2 linked regions of the Drosophila melanogaster genome follow. The protein of the gene in region 2 purifies or fractionates together with the protein of the main gene of each other region. This does not show direct contact. Each region holds a gene or a part of one and is shown on either strand. Other genes may lie near its edges.

The links.
Region 1: the proteins of tay (region 2) and Mkp3 purify together in Drosophila melanogaster (affinity purification with western blotting; one study listed by BioGRID). This does not show direct contact.

Annotation. Positions count from the first base shown.
Region 1 is NT_037436.4:19,083,392-19,088,299, reverse strand, and holds the start of Mkp3 (Mitogen-activated protein kinase phosphatase 3), read left to right. Parts: upstream 1-1,873; 5' UTR 1,874-2,576; coding exon 2,577-2,979; intron 2,980-4,908. UniProt on the Drosophila melanogaster protein: Negatively regulates the activity of members of the MAP kinase family in response to changes in the cellular environment. Has a specificity for the ERK family.
Region 2 is NC_004354.4:15,884,295-15,889,311, forward strand, and holds the start of tay (tay bridge), read right to left. Parts: upstream 3,018-5,017; 5' UTR 2,744-3,017; exon of another isoform or gene 2,719-2,743; intron 1,650-2,718; 5' UTR 1,601-1,649; coding exon 149-1,600; intron 81-148; coding exon 1-80. Other genes in the region: MSBP (membrane steroid binding protein), read right to left, coding at 3,742-3,974, 4,050-4,202, 5,008-5,017.

The DNA.
Region 1 (4,908 bases), on a different chromosome or scaffold from region 2:
ACTTGGAAGGCGCAATTGAGCAGCCTTTTGAAACAGCTATCCAGGTGCTTACTTCTAATTTCTTCATACTTGAGTGATACACTGACAGTAATTATGTACAACTTTCGATGAATACAAAAATTAATGGTAATATGTGTGTTTACACTTTTGTGTTTACTGAAGCGTAAATAAATAAATGCTTAAATGATTTCATATTATAACAAATATTTCTTAGTATTATATATAAATATATATATATATTTTTTGTGTGTGTTTTTATTATTAAAGAAATCCTTTTGAAGTACGCATGTTTTCTTTGTATTGAGACTGCTGAAAGAAAATGTAATTTATTAAAGAGCCGCTCAATTTTTCCCTGTGCACTCCCTTGCAACATTCCGGCTGGCCTCCCACGCGCCAGGGCCGAAAGCAGAGTAAAGTCCTGGGGAATAACGCCCTTGGAATCTCAGGAGCCGCGTGCCAAGACGAAAGTGAGCAGCGAGAAATGCGTGGGCTGAGCATGGATTTCGTATGGCCGTTTCTTTCCCTCGCCGACTGTCTCCCTCTCTGTCTGCTTGGCTTTCTTTATTGCTCCAACGGTTTTCGCTGCTGCGTGGGACTTTCATTCATGAAAATTGTGCTCGAAAGTCGTTCGTTCGTACATCTGTATATAGTAGCACGTTGTGATGGGCCTTACCTAACGGTATATGGTGTGTATGGGTGTGCGTTTTATGTAAAGCTAGTGCAACGCAGGCGCAGCAGGAAGTTTGTTGTTTGTGGAGAAATTTTTGCACGCGCCGCATATCCTTGAAATTGTCCTTCCATGCGATTTCTGTATGGGTACACACGTATATCCTTGTGTGAGTCTCTTCTTTTTGGGTGTAAATATCAGGGTCATGGTTATAAAATTAAACATTTCATCGAGTCTCCAATATAACTGGCTCTTGGAGGAGCATTTGCGCAGGAGCTTTCGTTAGAGAGTAGACAGCGACTCCATTGATGATTCCGATTCTTCTGGGCTCCGTAATTTCTTATCTGTCTAAATTAGTGGTCCATTAACTTTTGCACTCTAGTGAAGTGAAATGTTAACCGCGCTCTCGCAAAAAGAGAGTAACAATAAAGTAGGTTCCATCGCGAAGGGTAAGGTGGGTGGTGGTGGGAGTAGTGGGAGAGTGAGAGAGAGCTAGTTTGGATGGCGAATTCAATGAATCAACACGAACACACGCATTTTACTTGCCACACGCATACCACAGCACAAAAATATCAATGAACTTTACACAAAACTTTGGGAGCGTATGCAGCGTGGAGAAATAGTCAAAGTGCCAAAAGAGTGCGGGAGAGAAAGGCAGGTGGGAAATTTGAAATACGAACCCAGTTATGAAATAATTATTTAACATACGGGAAAATATGATTATTTAATATATTTAAAAAATTTTATGTAATTTATAGAATTAAAACAAAGTCTTTACTTTATCTAAATTTTATTCAGGAACTCTCTTTGTATTTACTTTTTTCCCCATTTTTTCTCCTTTTTTAACCGAGCAAATTTCCAAGTGGGTCTGTGCCTGTGCACTGGCTCTTGCTCACCTTTTGGAGAGTTGCTCTTCTCTCCGGTTCGCGTACCTGTGTGCGCGGGTGCGTTCTTCCTTTCATTGCGTGTAACGGACTGTTTGTTTCGAAATAGTAATTCCCAAATGTATTTTTTTAAACGAGAAGGCAAAAAGATTCAATATTTTATAAGTTATTTCTTAATACTGCGCCTAACAAATACAATATTGTTATTGGGTTTCGCTCTTCGAATTCCGACGGAGAGAATTGGAGAGTCGGAGAGCAAGTGCAACTGTGTTCGTATTTTTGGAGAGCAACGAGGCTATTTAAGCAACCCACGACGCGCTTATTTTGTTATTGCCCGATTATCTTTTACCCGCGCTGCTTGTGTGTGCTCGCTTTCCATTCGAAAAAAACATCAACTCAAAATATGGATATTTGATAGAAGTAATTACCTATTTGTTTGGGAAATATTCAACGGTTTTTGGATGTTTTAGTTACTCGATGACAGGTTCACCGCACGTTTTTTCATTCGATTCCGAACTGTTGTTGTTGTTTTAGCGAAGCACACCTAAAAAATACAAAACCACTCACACACACGCGAAACATACACACGGTTGTGATTTGGCGCGCTCTTGTGTGCGTGTGTACATACAACAAAAAGCAAAAAGCAACGAATTTCGGTGTGCAAAGAAACATAAATCGGCAAGCGAGGAAATCGGAAAGCCAAGAAACAAAAAAAACAAAACAGTGCAAGTTACAGATTTCCCCAAACGAGATAAAAACAAAAATTCCTTTTTGATTTCCAAGATTTTCATCTGCGCGGGAGTGTGTGTGTGTGTAACAGCAACAAATACCATTGCACGGCCAAGAAAGAAGAAGAGAACCAGCGCGAAGCAGAAGAAGAAAGATGATGTAAACTTTGTTGTAACCAAAAGAAAAAAGAATAACATAAAAAACGAGTGAAGCAGAGAACAGAGCTAAACGGGAAAAATAGTGGCAGTGCTTCGAATTCTTCCAGTCTTTGAGTGATTTTTTGGGAGCTCTTCAAAATGCCAGAAACGGAGCACGAGACCTGCAGCAAGGAGTGGCTGCAGTCCCAGTTGCGATCCCTGGACTCCAAGGACCTGATCCTGTTGGACTGCCGCGGCTCGCACGAGTACAGTGAGTCGCACATCCGCGGAGCCGTCAACCTATGCATACCCAGCATCGTCCTCCGTCGTCTGGCGGTTGGCAAAATCGATCTGGCCTCCACGATCAAGTCGCCCGAGCTGAAGCAACGCATCCAGTCGGGCTACAAGCTATGCTGGTTCATCCTCTACAACGGCGAAGGCGTGCCCGGCCAGAATCAGGAGATCGCCGGAGCCGGATCCCTGGCCGTCGCCATGGACTCCATCATCAGCATCCTGCACCGTCGCCTCAAGCAGGACGGCTGCCGCGTAGTTGCTTTACAAGGTGAGTCATAAGTTCAATACTTTGGGTGCCCCAAAAAATAGAACTACAATATCATAATACAAGTGCGGGAGTTACTAAAACCAACTAAGGTTTATATATACCTCTCAATTCCCACATTTAAACTCACGTAATTAATCTTATAAATATGAATACTATCCATGTTGATTTCATAGAATATGTACATATTTGAAATATTAAAGCTTCAGTAATAGAAATGACTAAGTAAATCATTATAAACATAGTAGAAAACCGAAAAATTTCATCCAAAATTTCCCCCCTTAATCTCGTTTGATTAGAATGTAATAACTAAAGTAGTAATATTAAGATTTACATTGTGATATTCTTGGAATGCAATGAATCAATATTACGAATGGAATTTTTTGTTAGTTTACTACGCACCTGTATCGAGAACGGAACTCTCCATTTGTTGATCATAGCTGTGCTATCGGATTCTTTAAATGCCTGATACTTCCCAACACCGCCCATAAATCAATGCCGCACATTCCTATCCTAGGCCTAAGAATATCATAACTTATTTATACTTCCCCAATGTTGTTTGCGGCATTTTTAGCCCGAAACCCCCAAGGAAGAAACCAAAACAAAACAAAACAGCCGAAAGAATATTAATAATACAAGCAAGCACTGCCTGGCCATAAATAAACATTTGCATGGATTTGTTATTGTTTTTTTTTTTTTTCGTTTTGGCGAAACAAGGCAAGCATTCTGGGGGCGGAGACAAAATGACAAATGCAAAAAAAAAAACTAGCAAAATATAATGTAATCCGCACAGCTGATAAAGCTAGCGCCAGATTAGAATTATATTTAGTCTGACTGATCCTGTCCTCCTCCTCTCGCATTCTGATTATAGACATACACTGCATAGATTTCACCTTTCTGAACTTGTTTTTGGTTGACACGATTTTGTTTGACTTTGATAGAAAATTATAATGGCAGGAATTTGTTAGTTTATATATGCTGTGTCTTTTGTTTCCTTATCACAATTGCATGTAAGCTATATTAAAACTTGCGCAAAATATCAATCCAACCATATCGGCGGATATATATGTATATGTAGTTATACCACCCCGCATGCCCTTCCAATTATGCACTTTATTCTGAAACACTATGCCCCTCCTTGATTGGCCCATATCAATTAAGGAGCGATTTAAATATAAATGTGTTTTCAAAATCGTTTGGTATTTTACAAACACGTTCGGAGATTAAGGAAGTCATAAATAAACATCACTGCTGTCGATGCTTTTGAGGTCTTTCCACTATTGTTGGCTACACATTTTCTTTGTGCTCCCGTATAGATTTGTGTCATTCAGAAAAATGTCACAATTGCTTTTCAGCGACTCCGAGGCTCGACTCCCATGACTCAAAGCCACATAAATTGTCATATATACTATATATGCTATACATATGCTTATTTATGTATGTGCTGCCCTATATGCCTGTGCACATAGTCGAAATATATACATAATTATCTGACGACTGACTATGGCTTCGTTTTTATTTTTATCACTTCAATTTCCGCTCGCTTACAAGTCCCACAGAACCCCGTGATTGTTTGGATGTATGTACATATGTATGTACATATACACACTTTTTTGCCGAACAAGCTTTACGCACGTTCTCCTCTGCCATTCAAATGTTTTCTGTTTCTTTTTTTTTTTTGTGTCTGCCTGCTAATATCGCAAATTGACAATAGAGCGTCAACAAATGGACCGGCTTTTCAGCCTCCCAACTCTCTCACCCCACCACCCATCTCTAAGATACTTTTCTTTTTGTACCGATTTCATTTCGAAAGATAAATAGAACTTGAAAGGCCGTGGAATTAGCATAACATAAGGTGCCATCTCAACTATGACGTCAAGCCGTGGAAAGAGATGGCACTCTATGGTGGGAAAGAGATCGCTGCAACGAAGC
Region 2 (5,017 bases):
TCTATACTGTAGGTACAAGTTAGCTCGTCCAGTGCGGATAGACGCTTCTCCTTCCGCTTCTGTCCCAATTTGATGGCAAACTGTTGTGAAGAAAGATTATTACAGTAGGCTGCGTGCACGTATGAAATGAAATGGCAACGAAACCTACCTCAAGATCCTCGTATGTCTTAAACTCCAGTATAGCGAATCCATCGATGATTTCCTCCTCGAGCACCGGAGATCGTGGCAGCTTTCTTCGAACCGGAGGTGGTGGTCGAGGCGGTGGCTTGTCGCGCGGCAAGAGCAGTGTGGACGAGGACGAGGTCGAGAGCAGATCCTCGTCCAGCGACTCACCCTCGCTATCGCTAGGCGTGGCCATCAATCCCGAGTTGCACTCGGGGGAATGTGGTGGATTTAGGAGTAACGATGCAATACTATCTGTGGGCGGCAGCAGATTGTTGCTGCCATTGCTGCTGCTGGTGAAATTTCCATTTGAATTGTTGCTATCCTCGCCCATGCTGCCAGCGCTGTTGATGTGATAGATCATCCCATTGTTGCCGGGTCCTGCCGCCGATCCGTTGCCCATTGCAACAGCCGAGGATCCGCCACCGACGCTACTATTAGGCGTGACGAGGCCAACTCCACCTCCCTGGCCACCGTTGGCCGCACTCATGGCACTGCCGACCCCCACAGAGGATCCGGCTATGAAGGTGCCACTCAGCGAGTTGGCATTGCATCGACTGTCGCGTTCCGCTTGCAAACGCTGGGCACGTTCCCTCCGGCGTTTCTGCTGGCGCTGTTGCTTGGCATTCAGACTCAGATGAGTACTGCTACTGGAGGTGGTGCTGTGGCCATTGGTATTCCCAGCAGCCACCGCTCCTGATCCCGCTCCGAAGCCGGACTGATTACCGGCTATGCTAGCAGTGCCTCCCGCACTGGAATTCAGCTGTGGCATTATTGTGGATCCCGCCGCCGTCGGAGGAGACGTCGGGGATCGCGAATCTATGCCGGCTGAGGCGGAGACGGCCGCTGCAGCTGCCACAATCGAGAGTTCCGTGTCGGAGTCAAAGTCACAGGCACTGGGAGCCATCGATACCGTCGAAACAGATGGACAGGTGGGCTCCGATATGGAGACAGGTGATGCCGGGGGAATCGCTGCCACGGCCATGGTTTTGCCGCCATCCGATGCCGACGTCGCCGTCGTCGTCGTCGCCGCCGTCGAGGAGGTGTTCGATACAAACGATGGCCGAGCACGAGGCATGGAGCCCAGATCGGCTATATTGGCACTTGCTTGAACTAAGGCGGTCGCCGTCGGCGGAGGAAGATGCAGTACCGCCAGGGCGCCGGTCGAACTCTTTGATATACTCTGGCCCACTACCGTGAGCACTGTGGACTGTGGCTGTGACTGCGATTGCGACTGGGACGACTGTGAGCTGGAGCTGGAGTGTGAATGTGAGTGGGAGTGCGACTCGCTCTTCTCATCCTGGACTGGGACAGCGGGAACGGAGGATCCGATGTCCTGCGACGATGATATATGCTTGATTTGGGATCCTATTCCATTAATACTACTGCTGCCCGACGCAGACGTCTTTGATTTAGCGCTGGCATTTGATGTGTCCATTTCTTTTGCTACGTAAAGCTTCCAGTGGATTACACTTCAGTTCCTTTTCCTTGGGAATACAAATTATCGATGAGCATTATTATGTATATTGCTATCTGGACCAAACCTTTTCCAATGCATTCGACTATTATTTTTATCTATATTTCTTTACTTTTTTTTTTTTTTTCTTTGGAAGGAGGGGTTTTCTATGCCAGCGATAAGGCGAGAAAGCTTTACAAATATTGGATTTAAGGTGCTACTACGGCCGATTCAATCGCGTGTATTTTGAAAAAATCGATGCTGCGCCGACTGTTTTTACGTGATATTGTTATTTGGTGGCCACTGTGGGGTTTTTCACATTCCGACCGGTTAACATATTTGATTAGAGTCACTAATTTGGTTAAAAATAATAATTGTACAAGTTGTTTTCATTTCGTTTGCTCTTTTTCTTGTAGTCAACTTCCCTATTGCGCTTTTTTCTGTACACACACACATAATATTTAATTCTGCACACTTCTTTTTTACAACAAACACTTATTGTTTTTTCGGGTCAGTGGGATTGCACACAAATCAGAACAGATGTAAAATATAATAAAAAAAATAAATAACATAAAGCCGATATGAGAATTCACCGAAAATAGTCCATATTTATTTTGTCTAGCACTTTATCATTCGTCATATACTCTTCTTCTTCTTCGTATTCCTCCTCTGCTGCTTCTTCGCCTTCTTCTTCTTGAAATATATGTATGCACATATATGTACGTACATGCATGCGTACATATAAATTCGTACGAGTATACGTATGTATATTTATATACACCAGTTCGGTTTTGCTTTTGCTGTTGCTTTTTTTCTTGCTTTCCTTCTTTCTTTCGGCCTTTTTTCTCTATGCCTCCGTGTTCGTGCCGTCTATAAGTCTGCCGCTAGCGAGTGCACAAACCATTCAACCAGAGTTTCACACCGTTGCCTTTGCAAATAAAATTACGATAAAATAATTTTTTTTTTAATTAAAGAGAACATTTTGAAGCAGCTTCTTTTTTATTTTTACTCTTTCGCAGAACTTTAGTTGGCTTTTCTCTTAAAGATTTGCAGAAGCAGCGCAGAAACAGAAACAATAGTGTCATCTCGCTCACACTTACACTTTTCTAATTGCGACATACGTACATACAAAATACGACAACGACAAATACAAATACGACGACGACGACGACGAATTTTTGTGAACTGTATGCGATTGTTCGTACATTTTTACATTTTCCACACACACCGAACGCACAACGAACGGCCAAAACGATCGATTGTGCATCAACGCGTTATAAGCATCGCTACCAAACTAACTGTCATCACGGCTATTATGTATATTTTACATAAAATCCAATATTATTTTCCGAAAATTTTGTTAACCACAAAGAACCAACATAGTCTCTCAGAGACGGACCAAATTTTCGATAGCTGCAGAAAATCATTTTCAAGGGGATAACATTATGATAACTATCGAAGTAGCGGCCAGTCTCCACTGGTGGCCGCGATTTCGGGCGTTTCACACCGATAACAAGATGCGAAAAGTTGGTTTCAAAAAATACTGGGAACAAATGGAATAAATCAAAATCCATTATTAGGAAAAAAACCTGTTTTTTGCTTTTCTTGCAGTTCAGGATTCCCCCACCTCCCAAATAAAGATATTGAACGTTTAAGTATTTAATTTGTATTTCAAATATAGTTACATTTAAATTTATATTGCCACGAAAATGACTCCCATACCCTCCACACATTGGCCTCCTCCTTAAATAATTTTATGATTTCCGTTTGTTACATTTGTATGAATATACGACTATAATATATGGAACAAGATCACATCACAACGTGAATTATAGTAACAACTATAGCTTTTGTCAAGGCTGCACTCTAAGAATAACATTCAAAAACGATTTTATCTGTTTTAAATTCTTTTGAAATGTTCACGATAAATTTAATGCCTTGATTTGTACGGTTCAAATTGGGGCGTGTTCTTTAAATGTTTTCCAAATAGGTCTTGTTCTCGATTTTAAAGGAGCAGAGGCAGCATCAAAAAGAGTCGGAAATGCTATTTAGTTTTGTTGTGTTTCTAACCGAAAGTAAACTATTACAGCCACATCCAAAAGCAAAACAAAAAACCCGATTCGCTAACAGTCGGTAGAAGGAGTGGCCTGATCTTGTGCGTTATTTTTGTTTGTTACATTGCTTTGCAAAATGTGACTTTCCTTTTCTTGTTTGGTGTCATCAGTCTCAGTTTTCGACTTGGGTAGGTTCTTTCGCTCTTGTTCATCATTGTTAACATTCTCCTCGTCCTCATCATCGTCATAGTTGGTTGGTTCCTCGCCCTTGCGCAATAGCTTACCAACCAGCTCATATTTTTCTAAATAACATAATGAGAACGTTAGTTTACCTATGAATCTGAGCATATACATATATATATATATGATTTAATTACCCTTAAACTGCATTTCCCATTCCCGCACAGAGTCCATTTCCACGGCACTTAAATCGCTCAGGTCATCGTATTCATCCTTGTCAATTGAAACCACGCTGAAAGTGGCCAAGTTTCGCGAGGCATCTCTACCCGCAAAAGTTGCGTAGGGTCCACCTGAAAAGCAGAGAATCATCATATGTTACTATCTAAATATTTATATAGTTTTAGTTTGTTGGAGTCAGCAGTCTGGTCATCAGGAACACGGCACCGTTGATAGAAGATAGTATACAATCAAGTGCGCAACTTAAGGCTTTTCTGCGCATCTACGTCACAAGTGTCGTGCATCTTGCTCGCACTCGTTACTTTTAGTTAAAATACTTAAGGAAAAAGTGCAAGCCGTTGTTGAAATGCCACTGGTTTCTGTTTGGTGTCTTTGAACATTTCAATTAAGGCATTTACATTAGGAAGTATTTCGATTTGATAAGGCGGACGACAACTATTTCATATGAAAATGACGATCATGGTGAACTATTTTTGCATTTCATGCTTAACAATAAAAACACCTAGTCGACATTTGGTAGGCATTATTTGATTATTGAATTTGGTTAGATAGTTGCGTTATCTCAAAACGAAAACTTTCTTGTTGATAAGCTGTTAATCTTAGCGCAAAAAAAAATGACGAAATATAGCAGAGATATGAGCATATGTCGTGCAATATCTCCTCCCACAGAAATTAAATGCGATTAAGAGAGTTACAGATATCAGGAAAACCAATATTGTGACGTAGCATTGCAATTATAGATAGACATCGTATAGAGGGATATAAATAATGGGATCTTGGCAATGAAACACATACCAAAATACCAAAATCCCTTCCTTATAATCGGCAATAGATCAATCGAAAATAGTTCTAAAGGTATATGCTATACTGTAAGCTTAGGAACAACTTAAATTCAAATATTTATAGCCTAGCACTCACCTGGGCCGTA